Linked DNA regions of Macaca mulatta. The protein of the gene in region 1 interacts with the protein of each later gene in a biochemical or structural test. Links are inferred from orthologs where the notes say so. Each region holds a gene or a part of one and is shown in the gene's direction. Other genes may lie near its edges.

Region 1 (4,214 bases):
AAGGAGGCTCTGATTCTCAGGGCCACGCAAATGCAGGGCTGGCACCTATGAGTGTGGCCCTCCTGAAATGTTGTGCCTTAGGCACCTGGCTCTCCCTAATTCAGGCCCTCAGGAGAAAGCCCTAATTCTGGTCAGTTCGCAACAGGAGGACACGGCTTCTGGGAGACACTCGGTGCTCCAGAGAGAGGCATTTGGTCCGTTCTCTTCCTCTGGACGTCACCGTGCCGACATGAAATGCTTCCAATTGCGTCCAGCCTAGGATGGAGCGGGGTGGGGGGGATATCTGGTGACATTACGAACTGCTGCATCAACTCCCCCGAGTCCCTGCCTCTGGACCCCCGAGAGAGGACACAAGGAGTGTCCGGAGCCCATGTGACTCAGTGTCTCTTCCCATCACTTCGCGGGAAAATGGGGCTGCTTACACCGCACCGCAGCCCAAGCACCTGTGGCTGGAGAGGGGCTCGGGCGCCAGGAGTGAGGAGCCTGGTTCTGGGCCCGGGACCGGTACTAGTTAGTGGTGGGACCTGGAACAAATGGTACTAGTTAGTGGTGGGACCTGGAACAAATGGTACTAGGTAGTGGTGGGACCTGGAACAAATGGTACTAGTTAGTGGTGGGACCTGGAACTAATGCTTTGCTTCTAAGTGAATCCCTCATATTCATGACAAGAGGCGTGGAACACAGACCCATGGGGCCTTCCCACTGGAACATGGAGCTTGGCTGTCACCCGACTTCGCTTCCTGAGGTAGAAAAGCCCAGGGTTCCAGGCTCTGTCTCCTTTCCCGCAGACCCCTTGTTTCTTGGCGCGGAGGCCCTGGGCCCCGCAGGCTCCCACCCACTTCTCTGGGCTCAGAACTTCTCTGGGTTCAGAACCCGATCCCGAAGCGGCCATGGTGCTGCCGGTGGCCGAGGCCGGGCGCGCGCCTTGGGAACCTGGCTGGCCTCAGGCTGGCGGGAGCATTCGCGGACCTCGCCCTGGGCCGGGAGGACTGGGGGACCCTGGCCTGCCCCTTCCCCTAGCCCTGACCTCGGCCACCACGCGCTGGTCCCGCCAGGCTCCGCCTGAAGGCAGAAAGCGGGGCGGGGGGGGGGGGGCGCCCGATCCTGCGGTATAAAAGCGGTGTCCGCAAAGGCCCTAGTGGGAGTCCGCGGCGAGCGCAGCAGCAGGGCCGGGTCCTGCGCCTCCGGGATCGGCGTCCAGGCTCGGAGCGCGGCACGGAAACGGCGGCGGCGCTGGACCAGGCGGTAGGTGCGGGCGTCCCCGCGCAGGGCGCTGCGGGTGGCGAGGCTGGGTGCGCGCCTCGGGAACCTGGCTGACCTCAGACCGGCGGGAACATTCGCGGACTTCGCCCTGGGCGGGGCGAACTGGGGGGACCCTGACCTTCCCATGTTCCTAGCCCTGCCCTCCGCCACCGCGCGAACGCGCGCGCCTCCCAGGATAGTCCCGGCAGGCGCAGCCCCAGTCAGGCGGCTTGTCAAGTATGGGAGGAGCCTAACAATCCCAGACAGTTTAAAAGGCGGTGCCCGCCAAGGCCCGAGCGGGAGTCCGCGGCGACAGCAGCAGCAGCAGCAGCAGCAGAGTCACGTCTTGGGCCCTGGGGATCGGCGTCCAGGCTCGGAGCGCGGCACGGAGACGAGGTGGCAGGTGAGGGCGTCCCCGCGCTGGGCCGGGGTCGGGAACGGGAATGGCGAGCTTCAGGTCCCCCGGCTGCCACCGAAAGATGAGACCTGAGGACAGGAGAGGTCGCTCATCCAAGAGCCCCGGGGAAGCGGTGGTGTCTCGGCGGGTCAGGAACGGTCTCTGGGGGGTCCCCTGCAGCGCGCAGCCGGTTTCCGCCTCCGCAGCTCCCCGCCAGCGCGGACGCCGCCCTCCCCCACGCCTCCTCGCTGCCCTTCTCTGGCCGAAGCTCTCCCCTGCAGCCCCTCCCCACCTGCCAGCCCTGTTTTCTCACTGCTCCTCTCTGCTCTGGGATCCGCAGGATGACGTCTGTCCCGGTACTTCTCTTTCAAAGTCACCAGTCTCCAGTTCCAAATCCGAGCACTCTTACCCATCCTAATTCTTTCAATAATTCAGCGAAACGGATGGGGCCCGTCCTTCCCCGGAGCATATTTCCAGGGACTGTGAATCCGCGAAGCCAGGCTCAGCCGTCGCCTGCAGGGCCTGCGGTCTGTGGGGACCGCCAGCAAGATGAGGAGTCACCTTCGGGACGAACGGTCGTGCTGGGGAGGGTTGCGCCGGCGGGGTCAAGGGAACCTCCTTTAGGGTGGGAATCAAGCCTCCAGGCCGCGGTGTTTGAGGGTGAGTAGAATTAATCCCGTGATGGACATGGGGCCTTGTAAGGGGGACCAGGAGTTTGTGAAGAGGTGACTTTGGGAGGGGTTCAGGATGGCCAGAGGTGGAGGCTGTGACCTGAGCGAGGCTGGATCAAGGGAGGGGGCAGGTGGAGAAGAAACCGTTTTAACAAGGTGGCTTTGAGCGGATCCTAAGGGTTCTGGGAGATTTAGGAGGAAGGCCAAGAGGATTAAGACACCGCTTTCTGAGGATGTTGTGTGGCTGTGGCATGGTGGTGGCTGAGGGAAGCGGGTTGTCTTCATTGTCCAAGGCTCTCCAGTGCTTTGCGTGGCGTTTTGGGGAGCACACATGAGGTGTCCCGACAGTGAGGAGTGGCTCTAAGGTGAGCAGAGGCTCGGGAGGGGGCCTGCGCATTAGGCCAGGCACAGGATCCGAAGTGGAAAGAAATGTGGGCGAAATGTGGGCGTAGAGGGCAGGCCTTGGGGATGGGTGTGGGGGACGAGGGGGATGGAAAGGGGTCAGGGAGGTCTCCCAGGCTCACCTGGAGGAGTGAGGGTCTCATTTCCAAGGGCACTGGGAACTGCAGCCTGGGGGTGGGGGTTCATTTGGTTTCAGACCTGTGGCGAAGAGACCCACCCCCTCACATTCACACTTTGGCTTCCACTAGCTTCAGAGGTAGTACTAGCTCTTTGTTCTCGCTGGTTTTCCTTCCTCACCTTGGGCTGTTTCTTGCCTTTTCCATTCTGGTGTTCTGCAAGGACCAGTTCCTTCGTCTCATGTACCATCTACACTCATGGCTTTTGCTGGGAGTAATGAGTAAAGCTCCCAAATAGATGTTTCTGAGTTAGAGCACTGAAAACAAAATGAAGCAAAAACAATGCATTTCCAATCTTCCAAGATCACATGATGTCCAGAGGACAGTGATGGGCAATGACTTTTTGTCTTCCCCATTAGAATGCAAGTTCCACAAATGGAACACGGAGATTTTTATTTATTTATCCTTTTTTTTTTTTGAGACGGAGTCTTGCTCTGTCACCCAGGCTGGAGTGCAGTGGTGCAATCTTGGCTCACAGCAACCTCCACCTTCTGGGTTCAAGCAATTCTCCCACCTCAGCCTCCTGAGTAGGTGGGTCTACAGGTGTGCGCCACCACGCCCAGCTAATTTTTGTATTTTTAGCTTCATCATGTTTGCCAGGCTGGTCCGTAACCCCTGAGCTCAGGCAATCCACCCGACTGAGCCTCCCGAAGTGCTAGGATTACAGGTGGGAGCCACTCCACACAGCCAGAACAGAGATTTTTTATGTTTAATTCACAACCGAGGCTTCACTGCCTAGAACAGATGCTCAGTAAATATTTATTGAAGGAATGAATTCCTTTTTGTATCTCTTGTATCTATCACCAGATACTCTTGTATCTAGTACCTATTTGGCATACAGTAGAAAGCTTTGTTGAGTGAATAGCTCTGCCTTTCGTCTTTTTTGGTATGTATACATCTTTTAAAAAATAATGAATAGACTTTTAGAGCTGTTTTAGTTTACAGCAAAACAAAGCAGAAAGAAAATATCCCCTCCCACAAACATCCTGGACTGTATAGCCTCCCCTACCATCAACATCCTGCATTAGTGTGGGGTATTTGTTACACCTGATGAACCAACATAGATACACGGTTATAAAAATGAACCAATATGGATAAAACATATACATTATCAGTCAAAGTCCAGAGCTTGTTAGGTTTTGCTCTTTGTGTATATTCAAGATACATTTGACAAATGTATAATGAGATGTACCCAACACTGTAATATCAGATTCCACTGCCCTAAAAATCCCTTGTGCTCCACCTACCTATCCCTCCTTCCCTGCAAATCCCTGGCAACCACTAATCTTTTTTACTATCTCCACAGTTTTTCCTTTTCCAGAATGT
Region 2 (4,237 bases), on another chromosome or scaffold:
AGCATTTGATCAAAGCTCAGAATACAGCAAAAGTCTCCCACTACCTCTGGCTTTCCCTTACAAAGGTGGGTATTACAAAAAGGCTCGGTAGAAGTATTTTCTATAGCCTATCTTGCCCCAGAAGGCAGGTCACGACTTTCTCTACCGCTTTTGACCTCTGGCTAGCAATCGCATCTATTTTCAAAAGGCCCTAGGTGATACTGCATTTGGTATTCTGAGAAAGGCTGTTTATAAAGGGCTAAAAGGCTTCCTTGCTTTCGCCCAAGCAGGTATTTGCCAAGTGACATAGGTCAGAGGTGCAGAAAAGTTGGTTTTGTCTTCGCAGGGCAGGAGAATCCACTAGAGGACTCACCCTTAACAGGTGGGTCCAAGGAAGTGCATAGAAAAGACGCAGTGGTAAAACTAGCTGGGCACCTGTAATCCCTGCCCAAGGCAAGGCTGAGGAAGGGGGATCGCTTGGACCTCGGAGGTGGAGGTCGCAGTGGGGCATGATGGCGCCACTGCAGTCAGCCTGGAAGGCAGAGCAAGACCTTGCCTTAAAAAGGAAAAGAAAAAAAAAAAAAAAGAGGAAAAGACTCGTGGTGCCAGGATTGGTGGCTAGGGCCTGTAATCCCAACACTTTGGGAGGTCAAGGCGGGAAACAACTTGAGGCCAGTAGTTCGATACCAGACTGGGCAACTGTAATAGTGAGACCCTCGCCTTAAAAAAAAAAAAAAAAAATTAGCCGGGGGCGGTGGTGCACACCTGGGTTGAGGTGGGCGGATCGCTTGAGTCCGGGAGGTCAAAGCTTCAGTGAGCTATGGACTGCGCCACTACACTCCAGCTTTGGAGATAGGTGAGACCCTCATCTCTAAAAAGATAAAAGAGGCAGTAGTGGATGCAAGGAGGGATGGTAGCCCATGACCATGCAGAGGCCAAACAGCATTCTGTTCTCCACACCCATGCCAGAAGCTTTCCTGCCAAGCAAGCTTTCCGAGCATGCTAACTCGCTCCAAGAAGCGCCCATCCCGCAGCACCCACTGCAGCCGCTGCGGAGAGTGGTGCAGCGCAGAAACCCGTGCCCAGGTCGGGGAAGCGGTCTGCGGGAGTCACGTGGGCGGGAGGCCCAGCCAGGAATTCCCGGACTGCTCAGGCCTCCGAGCCCCCGGCCTCGCCCCGCCCGCGCGCGCGACGAGGGCCACGCCCGTGACGTCGGCGGAGCGGAGCAGGGGGCGGGGCGCGGGCCGGAGTGGGCGGGGCGAGCCGACGCGGCTGAATCGGGCGCCGAGACAAGCCGCGCATTCCAGCGAGTCCACGTGACGCGGCCGCGAGGCCTGAGGTAAACAACCGCGGCCCCGCCTCCCGGGCCTCCGCGCGCACCGCGCTCCTCCTCGCCGGCAGGACGCGCTCCAACGAGGCGGGCGGCTTCCTCCGTGAGTCCCCAGCGGCCGCCGCAGGCCGGAGCAGCTGCAGCGGGCGCGACGCCCCGGGTCTGCGGGCTGAGCGCACCGGCAGGAGTCGAGCTCGCGTCCCGTCCCCGCCCCCCCCACGCTGTGGCGCAGCAGGAATTTGGCCGGGACCCGGGCGCTATTCGCGGCTGCTGACGCGCGGCGGCCAGCGGCCTTGCGCTCATCTCTATTCTGGGGCCGTTGGGTCACCGCGCTCCGCCGGCCCCCTCCCCCGGGCCCGGAGGGTGTGTCCCCCGCTCCGGGGCTCGCCGCGCCTATAAGGGGCCGAGCGGCGGGCAGGGACATGCAGCTCTACAGCAGCGTCTGCACCCACTACCCCTCCGGGTCACCGGGTCCCACGGCCGCCGCCCCCGCGCCACCCGCCGCCGCCGCCCCCACCTTCAAGGTCTCGCTGCAGCCCCCGGGAGCCGCCGGCGCCGCGCCCGAGCCCGAGACCGGTGAGTGCCAGCCCGCCGCGGCCGCCGAGCACCGTGAAGCCGCCGCTGTCCCCGCCGCCAAGATGCCCGCCTTCTCCTCCTGCTTCGAGGTGGTGTCCGGGGCCGCCGCGCCCGCCTCTGCCGCCGCCGGCCCGCCTGGCGCGTCCTGCAAGCCGCCGCTGCCGCCGCACTACACGTCCACCGCGCAGATCACCGTGCGGGCCCTGGGCGCCGACAGGCTCCTGCTGCACGGGCCCGAGCCCGCTCCCGGCACCGCGGGCTCCGCCGCTGCCCCGCGCGGCCGCTGCCTCCTGCTGGCCCCAGCGCCCGCAGCCCCGGTCCCGCCGCGGCGGGGCTCCTCGGCCTGGCTCCTGGAGGAGCTGCTGCGGCCCGACTGCCCCGAGTCCGCGGGCTTGGACGCGACACGGGAGGGGCCCGATCGGAACTTCCGACTGAGCGAGCACCGCCAGGCCTTGGCCGCCGCCAAGCACCGAGGCCCCGCGCCGACCCCGGGGAGCCCCGACCCCGGTCCGTGGGGCGAAGAGCATTTGGTGGAAAGGGGCCCTAGGGGCTGGGAGAGGGGCGGCGACCGCTGCGACGCTCCCGGTGGGGACGCGGCGCGGAGGCCCGACCCAGAGGCCGAGGCACCCCCAGCCCGGAGCATCGAGACCGCCCCGAGCAGCGCGGCGGAGCCGGTGATCGTCTCCAGGTCAGATCCCAGAGACGAGAAGCTGGCCCTGTACCTGGCCGAGGTGGAGAAGCAGGACAAGTACTTGCGGCAGAGGAATAAGTACCGATTCCACATCATTCCCGACGGCAACTGCCTCTACCGAGCTGTCAGCAAGACGGTGTATGGGGACCAGAGCCTGCACCGGGAGCTGAGGGAGCAGACGGTGCACTATATCGCCGACCATCTCGACCACTTCAGCCCCCTGATTGAGGGCGACGTGGGGGAGTTTATCATCGCTGCTGCCCAAGACGGGGCATGGGCTGGGTACCCGGAATTGCTGGCCATGGGGCAGATGCTGAATGTGAATATCCACTTAACTACTGGAGGGAGGCTGGAGAGCCCCACGGTGTCTACTATGATTCATTATTTGGGCCCAGAGGATTCCCTGAGGCCTAGTATTTGGCTCAGTTGGCTCAGTAACGGACACTATGATGCTGTATTTGATCACTCCTATCCTAACCCAGAGTACGACAACTGGTGCAAACAAACTCAAGTGCAAAGGAAACGCGACGAAGAACTTGCCAAATCTATGGCCATATCCCTATCCAAAATGTATATTGAACAAAATGCATGCTCTTGAAATGTCTCAAAACCTTACACCCTGGGAATAATTGCATACATAACTTGTGTTTGGAGAATCACATGAACTCTAATCAGGGTAATAGCACTTTCAAACTTGCTAGTAGATTTTATTGTAGGTGTAATGCCTTAATCATCTTTTTGAATGTTTTCTCGGAGCTGAAGGTTGCTGGGCCACCTAAATGATGTTTCATGATAGCTTTGGGTGATTTTATTGCTATTTATAATTTGCTGTATAAAGTGAGCACTACTTAATTTGCAAGCTGATTTCTCACAGTGTAAATTTGTTCATTCCTGGTAGTCTATTTTCTATAAAAATGTATTTTTGCACAACATTTTTAAAAACTGGTGTACCTTCATCTATGATGTGTTCAGGCATAAATCCAGAGAAGTGCTTTATATGAAATGTATTATTTTGAACAGAATTTGTGATTTGGTAGTTATTTTATGTTGTTGAAATTTGAATTTCACAATTCTTAGATAATTATTTCAAATGGATATTGAAACATTCTTGTTACCAGATGTTTGGCCCATTCCATTTTGATGAAACAGAGCTGTTGTTTTGGAAATCATTATTTTTCTAGAAATGGTGAATCTTTTAAAGAAAATTATCTAATGGAAGGTTGTGGGAAGGTGTTTTTTTTCTTTTTTTTCCTGTTTTAAGGGATAGTACCAGGTCTTACTTGAATGAAAGTCTGATATTTGCTGATGGCAGAATGGTTATTCTGTACCCTGGTTGATATGTAGAGTAGATCGTCTGGTGCTCTCAATTGTTTTTATTGACATTTGTTATTTTGTTATAAAGAGAATGTTAATATGGTATAAAACTCTGTGACAAGATAAGCCTCCTGCTTTAACTTCTTGGATCCAACTAAGAGATTTATAAACTAATGGCATAAATGTCTGGAGCCACCCTTGGCAGTTAGAGCAGGAGAACACTGTCTTAATATTTCTTTTACATTCTTTCAGAAGGTGAAATAGGATTGCCCTGTATTAATGTAGAAATGTCTGTAAACAGAGCTTGTATGGTTTGCTGGGTCAAACAATGTTTCCAACTTAAAATC
Region 3 (4,137 bases), on another chromosome or scaffold:
TTAAGTTAAAAATGGGCAAGGGAATGCAGAGCTTTTTGAAATTCTTCTGGTGAGTACATAATCAAAAATGTGTAAGGCCCACAAATTATTTTCCATAATCTCAGGAGTGAGTTGAAAATGGCTTAGAAAGTCTTGATTGAAGCAGACTCAAATGTGGATTAAAGTCTCCATATGATAAATACACTTAGTCTTTCTGAAATAATTCCAACTGGAACTTCAGTTGCTATGGACAGCCAAGTCCACCTAAACCAGAAGATGCCTCAGCTCAGTCCATTGTGTGCAGAATGCACTGGATGCTGTTTCCACAGAATGATGAAGGACCAAATAATCTTTATGGGCTCTGCCTCTGGTTGGTAACTGTCTTTGATCTACTGGAAGACAGAAAATCAGATGAGCTCTCCCAAATCCATCTCTTACCCTGGTATGGATGGCTCTCAGATAAAGTTGCTTAAAGTTACTACTTAGAGAACGTTGAGGAAAATATGGCAGTGCAGTTAGACTCGAAGATGTCAGGTTTCCCTGAGAATGGCACTGCAACTCAGACACCTGCCCTGTGAAATCAAAGGCTATAAAGGAGGGATTTTTTTAAGTAGCCAACTCCACCATACTTATTAAAAAAAACAACAACCCAAAACTCACCAAACAAAACAAAAAGTATTTCAATACAGAAAATTAATAAAGCAATTTCAATCTTTAAAATGGTAAAAATAAACTGCAAAGGAGAACTGCATGATTTTTTTCACATACCCCTACATTTCCTTTCACCTCTTACTTTCTTGATCAGAACAAAAAGTAAAAATAAATAGAAAGATTTCACAAAGTTTCGAATTTTTTTTTTTAATGCTGGACTTCTGCAGCTATAGTAGAAGATTGAAAACCCGAACCTTTTTACGTGTAAAGTGTATGGCAGATGGAGGGTGAATAGGGCATATTGACCTTTTCCAGGCAGGCTGAGCAATGACCGTCCTCTCTGTATGGGTTGTTATCAAGATTTCCTCTGGCCCACGAGCAATGAAGCAAATGTCTTTCAGTAAATGCCGCGCAGATAGGCCACGGTTAAAAGTCATGCTTTTGGGTCATGGAAATCCCCGAGCGGGTTTGCCAGGCCACTGATTAAGAGGAAGTGTCTGTGGTTATTACCCCTGGAGTTCCCCTAAGTCCTAAAAGGAAAGCACCAGTGCACATGCAAACCACTGGGAGGAGTGCGGAACGCCTGCTACGGGTAGGGGTGGGGATTTGGGTGACGCATTTAAAGGACAGCGTGAGACTCGCGCCCTCCGCACGGAACAGGCCGGGCGACAGGTGTCGCTTGAAAAGACTGGGCTTGTCCTTGCTGGTGCATGCGTCGTCGGCCTCTAGGCAGCAGGTGGGCGAGGAAGGCTGGGGTGTGCGTGCGTGTGTGTGTGTGTGTGTGTGCGCGCGGGCAGCAGGTGGGCGAGGAAGGCTGCTGTGTGCTTGTGTGTTTGTGTGTGTGCGTGCGCGCGCGCGCCTCCCCTGGGGTAAGAGGTGTGCCAGCGGGTGGCCGAGGGGTGCTCAGGGCTAGAGCGCTGCAGAGGTTGAGAGTCAGTGGGTGGGGCGCAGTTATCAAACGTCAGGGCCCAAAGGCAGGCTCTAGATAGGTTCCAGGTGCTCAATTTCTATTTTACCTTTGGAGTGAGCCAGTGGAATTGTGCAGCTGTGTCATTTTGATTCGGTTGCCAAGAGTTATCACTGGGCCTTTGCAGGTGCCAAATAAATTTCAGGACCGAGCCTAACACAGAGCTCTGGCACAGGAAGGAAGTAAAGTGTTTAATGAGCAAATGGAGGCATGTTTCCAACCTGTGGTAGGAAGACAGCAGTTTTTGGTTGTCTTCCTGGTGATCAGCATGGAAACCCAGAAGTGCTCTTACTCTGATCAATACAGTGTCGAAGGCATGTACCTGATGCTAACGTAACAATAATATTAACTATTGACTTTATTTGCTATTATGTATTGCTAACATTAAGTACTGCTACCTGCTATATGCTAGGTTTCTCTCTGAAGAATTTACATGTATTTTTCACGTTTAATTATCATAATCTTAAGGAGCAGAATTATCTCCATTTGACAGTGAGGAAACTGAGGCTCTTGGAGATTTACTTGTGCAACGTCATGCTTCTGGTTACCGGGCTGCTTGGTACTGAGCACCCCAGATGTCTGACTCCAAAGCCTGATCCTAATCAATCACTGAGTAGACTCTGTGGTCATTAATGTAAAATTGATAGAAGTACTGTGGTCACTCGGGGCTCAGTCACATTTGCTAACATTTATTCCTTCAACGGGAAGTCTTTGTGTCTACCCTGTATGCCAAGCTCTGCAGATGCTATGAGTGGGAGGGCAGGTACAGAGATGAAACATATTAATAGCTGCGGTTCTAAAATACCTTACTGTCTAGGGGGAGGCAGAAAGAAAAGGCACACTTGCCCTCCAGTGTCATAGAAATGGATGTGCCGCGTGCCCAAAGGGTAGGGATGCCCAACAGCCCTGGGATTGGGGAGGTTGCTTTCTTGGTAGGTTAAATGGAAGAGTCAGAAGACGAAAGGTTGGGGACTGAGCCAATCTGAGAAGGAGCCACTAGAAATGAAAGAAGAATCCCAAGAGCTTGGTATCAGAGAAGCCCAGGGAATGGGACATTTCTAAGAGGAAGTGTGCCCCAACGTCAGATGCAAACATTTCCATTTGTTTTGGCAAAAAAACCATTGGTGTTATTAATACTGAGAGCAGTTTTAAGTGATGCTGACTTAATGAGTAAATGGGAGAGGGAAAATGGAGACATTAACCGTACACACATGTCCAGTTTGCTTGGCTATGAAGGGAAGGGGCGATACAGGGTAGTTGCTACAGTGGGAAGTGGGGTTGAAAGGGGATTTTTTTTTTTTTTTTAGACGGAGTCTCACTGTGTCACCCAGGCTGGAGTACAGTGGCGCAGTCTCAGCTCACTGCAACCTCTGCCTCCTGGGTTCAAGCGATTCTCCTTCCTCAGCCTCCCAAGTAGTTGGTAGTAAAGGTGCACGCCACCATGCCTGGCTAATTTTTTGCATTTCTTTTTAGTAGAGATGGGGTTTCACCGTGTTAGCCAGGATGGCCTTGATCTCCTGACCTTGTGATCCACCCGCCTCAGCCTCCTGAAGCGCTGGCATTACAGGCATGAGCCACCGCACCTGGCCGAAAGAGAATTTTAAAAATTTCTTTCATTTGAGAGTTGAGATAGATTTAAGCATGGTTGTTATGTGGAAGGAAAAGGGCCAGTTGAGAGTGAGAGGAATGAGAGTTGACGCAATGAGGGAGATGGGATTAAGAACAAGACTTCTGAGGCAGTAGGAGAGTTTAGGATCCCATAAGGGGGCAAGTCTTTAACTGAGGCAGCAAGTAGGTTGTGAGCCAAAAAGGCTTGGATATGAGAATGTGAGGCGGTTCCTGCTCAATGATATCTCTTTTCTTTGAGAAATAGAAGGCAAAGCAATGGACTGAAAATGAGATGGAGTGCAGTGGAGAAATCTGAGGAAGGTGTTGAAGGTTTAGAAGGGTGCATAGGGCAGTGGGCTAGGGGGCTGAGCAGGGCGAAAAGGAATTGCTAAGGGGTGGCAAAGGAGTCTTAAGTGATGCTGGTCCCAGTCTGCAGGGCTGCATCTAGGTGTTGGAAATTGTTAGGACAGAGGCTGAAGTGATCTGGGGTTGACATCTTGGCATATTTTTGTATATTTATTGTATAGTTGTTGCCTGAATTTCCACAAATATATACCTTGCTGGAGTGCAGTGGCATGATCTTGGCTCACTGCAACCTCCACCTTCTGGGTTCAAGTGATTCTCCTACCTCAGTCTCCTGAGTAGCTGGAACTACAGGTGCGTGCCACCACACCTGACGAATTTTTTTTGTATTTTTAGTAGAGACAGGGTTTCACCATGTTGGCCAGCCTGGTCTCAAACTCCTGATCTCAAGTCATCTGCTTGCCTTGGCCTCCCAAAGTGCTGGGATTACAGGCGTGAGCCACCACGCCTGACCTAAAGCTTCTTTAGGATAAGATTTGTGTAAGGGGTTTGCAAACTCAAATGGAGGTGATATAAATGAGAAAAACTCTGAGTCTTTCTTTTTCTTTTTTCTTTCTTTCTTTCTTTTT
Region 4 (4,326 bases), on another chromosome or scaffold:
AAGCAAAACTAGATGGTATAGCCTACTACATACTTAGGCCATACAGCATAGCCTATTGCTCTGACCACTATCATATATGCAGTCTGTCATTGACCCAAATATTGTTATGCAATGCATGACTGTAATAATAATACTTGCCACATAGGTAAAAATACTGTCATTAATGGTGTAGTAAAATGGTAACTGGCATAGTAACACTGTACAGTGGATACAATTTTTAGAAGGTTTTGAGGAGAGAGTTTCAGAACTGTTCTCCATTGATTTGCTTACAAAGATATTTTCATTTCCCACCAAAGGTTTTGGCTATGAAAACCTTTGCAGAAACAATATTTCAGGAGTTTTTCCCCCTGTATTGTCAACTAATTTTTAGTAAGCATATGACTTTTTGTATGTATCATCCAATTGATTTAAAAATGAATCAATGAATGTATTTATTGATCGACTGCCTCACTTCACAAAGGAATGTGAGGAAGGACACCCAACTTGGCATTTCTGTGTTTCTATTTGGGTCATGCATTTTTTCTTGCTTTCCAAATTGAAAATGTGGTGGATGCAATAGATAGGCCTTTAGTATCAGCCCTTCCCTCGTTTACTACACCTTTTTGTGTTTCTCAAGCTGGAAAGCTATAAACTACATGCTCTAGACATCCTTGCTGCTAATATTCTGCATGTGAAATTGATCTCACCAATTGCACGCAGCAGAGCAATATTTGCAGGTGCTGTTTTCATGCTGCTGGCAAATGCAGCCGTGGAGACCACGGTTTTTTGCAGCAGTGTTCCAGTGTCCTGTTAATTGTTCTGTCGGTGTTGAGAGGTTGGGGACGAGGCATGGCAACTTCCTGATGCCATCTTCCTGATTGTGGACAGGAGCCAGTATGGCAATCTTATCTTTGTAGTCATTCATGGATGTTCAGCCCTTCTCCAGTCTTTCCAATCATTTCAAATGTCCCGAATTCCCCCTGACAAATCCCTTTTTGACTAGGAGTAGCTAGCTGAGTGCTGTAATGAAATTCTGACTGACAGATTTGTAAACTTTTTGCGGACAGGAACCCTTGATATAAATAAATACCTTGCATTTTAATGGAGGGAAGCAGAGGGATAAACAAGTGAATAAGTAAAAAGTTTTAATAATATGGTGATACGTAAAAAATAAAGCTGGTTAAGGGAATGGGGAGTGCAGGAGATGAGTGCAGCTGTGTTGCCGTTTTAATCAGGTCAGAGAAGGCGTCTCTACCAGGGTGACTTTTGACCTGCCTCTCTGTTATGTCAATTGTGTGTAGGGCCCTGGTGTAGTTACTGTGTTAAAATGCAATGATTCAATGACTCCATTACTTAGATACCCTCTAAGTGACGCTACTGTTGTCCACCTCCCCGTGATTGAATTGTTTACCCACAGTAAACATGGCGGGAAGAGCTTCGATCCGACCCTTGAACGCTCAATAAAAATGGCGACAGCACTTCCTGTGCTTGCCCTCAACAAAGATGGTGTCAACACTTCCTGTGTTTTCGCCTTTAACAAAGATGGTGCTTATGGGGCAGATTCCCTAACAGTCAGGATTCCGGTTGCAGTTTTTCTCCCCCGCCCCAAAGATACGTGGTTGCAGACGTAAGTAACAGGAATCCATTTTTTCTTGAAAGCCCTGCATTGTAGCGTCTGCGACCTGGGCCCTGCGGGGGCTTCCCCGCCCCACTAACTTGCTCTGCATTTCCGATCCGGGCCAAGGCTGGGTGGCTGCGGTAGTGCCGGAGGCCCGCTCTCCCCTTGATCCGCTGTTAAGTTCATTCCCAGCACTCCCTCTTTAGCGGGTCAAATTGCGGCAGAAACCGCCCGTAGTCTTCCTGTTTGATACAAGGATTTCAGCGGCCGAGGCAGAGACTTTTTAAAAAGTTCCCAATGGGCGCTCACCGCCAAATGTGAACACCTCCCCCTCCTCACCTGTCACCTCCTAAACTTTGCAGGGTTGCGAGGGGGAGTGTGGGATCGGGTGTCGCCCAGCCGTGGTCGTACTGCCCGGGTGTATCTGAAGCCGCATATGTCATCCCTACCTGCCTTCCCGGTCACTTGACCTTCACTGCCTTACACACAACCAAGCCACAGCACATGGGTGCAGGGGTGGTGGAAATGCACCTTCAAATTGTGCCTGGCTACTGACCGGCGCTGGGGTGTTTTAAAGAAAAAAAATCCCATAAAATGTCCCATGCATGTGTGGCCACGACAGTGTTGTGCTGGAGATTCGGAATTCTTAGTGGGAAGGAATGGAGTCTGTGACTATATATTGTGTAAGGTTTATTGTAGACTGGGCACAAACAACAATTTTCTTAAAGGTGATGGTGTAGAGGACTTTTAACGAAAAGAGCCTTAAACTCTGTTCCTGCTGATTTCTGTCCTGCACTCCTGTTACTGATCAGGTTTTGCAAATACTTGTGATCAAAAAAGGGACACCTGCGCCCACTTTGGCAGTTTCTGCCGTGGTGGTGGTGGTGGTGCAGGTCTGATGAGGGCAATGTTAAAATAAAACCACGATTTCTTCTCCAGCATGTTAAAATTAATGCTGCTCTGTAATCTTCAGATAAAAATTGCTTTTTCGGAAGGGTCTCTGACCCACTTTTTTTTTTTTTCTTTTTCCAAATTTCTTTATTGAACGAGGAATTGAGCTGGGACCCCACTGTGTGAAAAGCAGGAACAGAAAAGATGATTCATCTTCAGTGTTGTTCATTATGTTAGGAAACATTCAAAGTTAACTTGGCTTGGCTTAACTCGTGAATTAAATACCATGACCTGGCACTCTGCCACGGTTTGAAGATATGCCTGACCTGAAGGAACTTACATTGCAGTGACACTGTCTTTCGGGCCACATCAGCGTGTCTGTAATTTGAGCTGTGATTTCGGCTCTTTCCAGGGAGAAATGGAGGCCAGAGACAAGCAAGTACTCCGCTCACTTCGCCTGGAGCTGGGTGCAGAGGTGTTGGTGGAGGGACTGGTTCTTCAGTACCTCTACCAGGAGGGAATCTTGACGGAAAACCATGTTCAAGAAATCAATGCTCAAACCACAGGCCTCCGGAAAACAATGCTCCTGCTGGATATCCTACCTTCCAGGGGCCCTAAAGCATTCGATACATTCCTAGATTCCCTACAGGAGTTTCCCTGGGTCAGGGAGAAGCTGAAGAAGGCAAGGAAAGAGGCCATGACCGACCTACCTGCAGGTAGGCCTCAGAAAGATCACTTCAAACCAGCTCCAAAATGTTGTAATTATGCCCTTTGCTTTTTGGTTTGTTTATTTGTTTGTTTGTTTTTGAAACAGAGTCTTGCTCTGTCACCCAGGCTGGAGTGCAGTGATCTCGCTAGGCGTGATCTCGGCTCACAGCAACCCCTGCTTCCTGGGTTCAAGCAATTCACTTGCCTTCGCCTCCCGAGTTGCTGGGAATACAGACTTACGCCACCACGCCCTGCTAATTTTTATATTTTTAGTAGAGATGAGGTTTCACCATGTTGGCCAGGCTGGTCTCGAACTCCTTACCTCAGGTGATCCACCCACCTCAGCCTCCCAAAGTGCTGGGATTACAGGCGTGAGCCACCACACCTAGCCAGAACTCCGCCCTTTGGATTTGAAGTTGGGATGTAAGGCAGGACAAGGGTCAACGGTTGATGAAAGTGGGTAAGGAGTTGGGACTGAAGGGACATGACATTAGAGGCATAGGATCAGGAGGTGGCATTAGGAAGTGCAGGGAAGGAAGAATGAACCGTGACTGGGAGGTGAGGGAGGGAGCTCAGAGAATGCATTTAGAAATGCTTCCAGGGAAACCTGGCATGTCACTTGGGAAGCATGTTCTCATCAGAGAGTCAGGTCATATCTCAGCCGTTGGCATCAGGAACCATTTGGAAAGTGCAGATGGGAAAGCAGGCATTCGGCCTACTGACAAGTGATTTGTGAGGTGCCAGAGCTACCAGCTGGAAAAGGTCAGATTCATGGAGTAGGAGACAGCCTCTAGGAAGGAAAGCCCTGTACCTGTCCCCTGGGCTGTCCCATGTGGCCAAAGGGGATTATTTTGAAGGCTGACTTAGTTTGTTTTTAAAGGTTATTCGTTTAAAGTGTCCTTTTTAGTTTAGCTTTTGTTCAGACACCGGAGTATTTAATTTTGCAAAGAGCAATAGTTTGGGGAGGGTCTCAGTTTAATTTGAAGGAGAATTGGAAGCTGGAGAAGAGAGAAACAGTTCTGGTTCTGTTAGCCTGGCTTGTAGCAGGAAGAAGATGTGATATGGAAACACTTGCTTCTTCTTAACTTCCCTTGACTCTGTTTTACAAAGATGGAGGGGCAGAGAACTGG

Evidence for each region.
Region 2: of the proteins of RIPK1 (region 1) and OTUD1, one has a biochemical effect on the other in vitro, tested with the Homo sapiens proteins (2 studies listed by BioGRID). The link is inferred for Macaca mulatta from reciprocal best matches to the Homo sapiens genes RIPK1 and OTUD1.
Region 3: of the proteins of RIPK1 (region 1) and BIRC3, one has a biochemical effect on the other in vitro, tested with the Homo sapiens proteins (5 studies listed by BioGRID, with this or other methods). The link is inferred for Macaca mulatta from reciprocal best matches to the Homo sapiens genes RIPK1 and BIRC3.
Region 4: the proteins of RIPK1 (region 1) and CRADD form a complex in vitro, tested with the Homo sapiens proteins (2 studies listed by BioGRID). The link is inferred for Macaca mulatta from reciprocal best matches to the Homo sapiens genes RIPK1 and CRADD.

The regions. Positions count from the first base shown.
Region 1 is NC_133409.1:180,192,711-180,196,924, reverse strand, and holds the start of RIPK1 (receptor-interacting serine/threonine-protein kinase 1), read left to right. Parts: upstream 1-1,387; coding exon 1,388-1,645; exon of another isoform or gene 1,646-1,728; intron 1,729-1,845; exon of another isoform or gene 1,846-1,979; coding exon 1,980-1,995; exon of another isoform or gene 1,996-2,168; intron 2,169-2,375; exon of another isoform or gene 2,376-4,214. Other genes in the region: uncharacterized protein LOC144340588, read right to left, coding at 850-1,389. UniProt on the Homo sapiens protein: Serine-threonine kinase which is a key regulator of TNF-mediated apoptosis, necroptosis and inflammatory pathways.
Region 2 is NC_133414.1:24,895,102-24,899,338, forward strand, and holds the start of OTUD1 (OTU domain-containing protein 1), read left to right. Parts: upstream 1-1,334; 5' UTR 1,335-1,731; coding exon 1,732-3,174; 3' UTR 3,175-4,237. UniProt on the Homo sapiens protein: Deubiquitinating enzyme that specifically hydrolyzes 'Lys-63'-linked polyubiquitin to monoubiquitin.
Region 3 is NC_133419.1:103,188,093-103,192,229, forward strand, and holds the start of BIRC3 (baculoviral IAP repeat-containing protein 3), read left to right. Parts: upstream 1-1,251; 5' UTR 1,252-1,366; intron 1,367-4,137. UniProt on the Homo sapiens protein: Multi-functional protein which regulates not only caspases and apoptosis, but also modulates inflammatory signaling and immunity, mitogenic kinase signaling and cell proliferation, as well as cell invasion and metastasis.
Region 4 is NC_133416.1:100,999,346-101,003,671, forward strand, and holds the start of CRADD (death domain-containing protein CRADD), read left to right. Parts: upstream 1-1,510; 5' UTR 1,511-1,606; intron 1,607-2,900; 5' UTR 2,901-2,906; coding exon 2,907-3,204; intron 3,205-4,326. UniProt on the Homo sapiens protein: Adapter protein that associates with PIDD1 and the caspase CASP2 to form the PIDDosome, a complex that activates CASP2 and triggers apoptosis.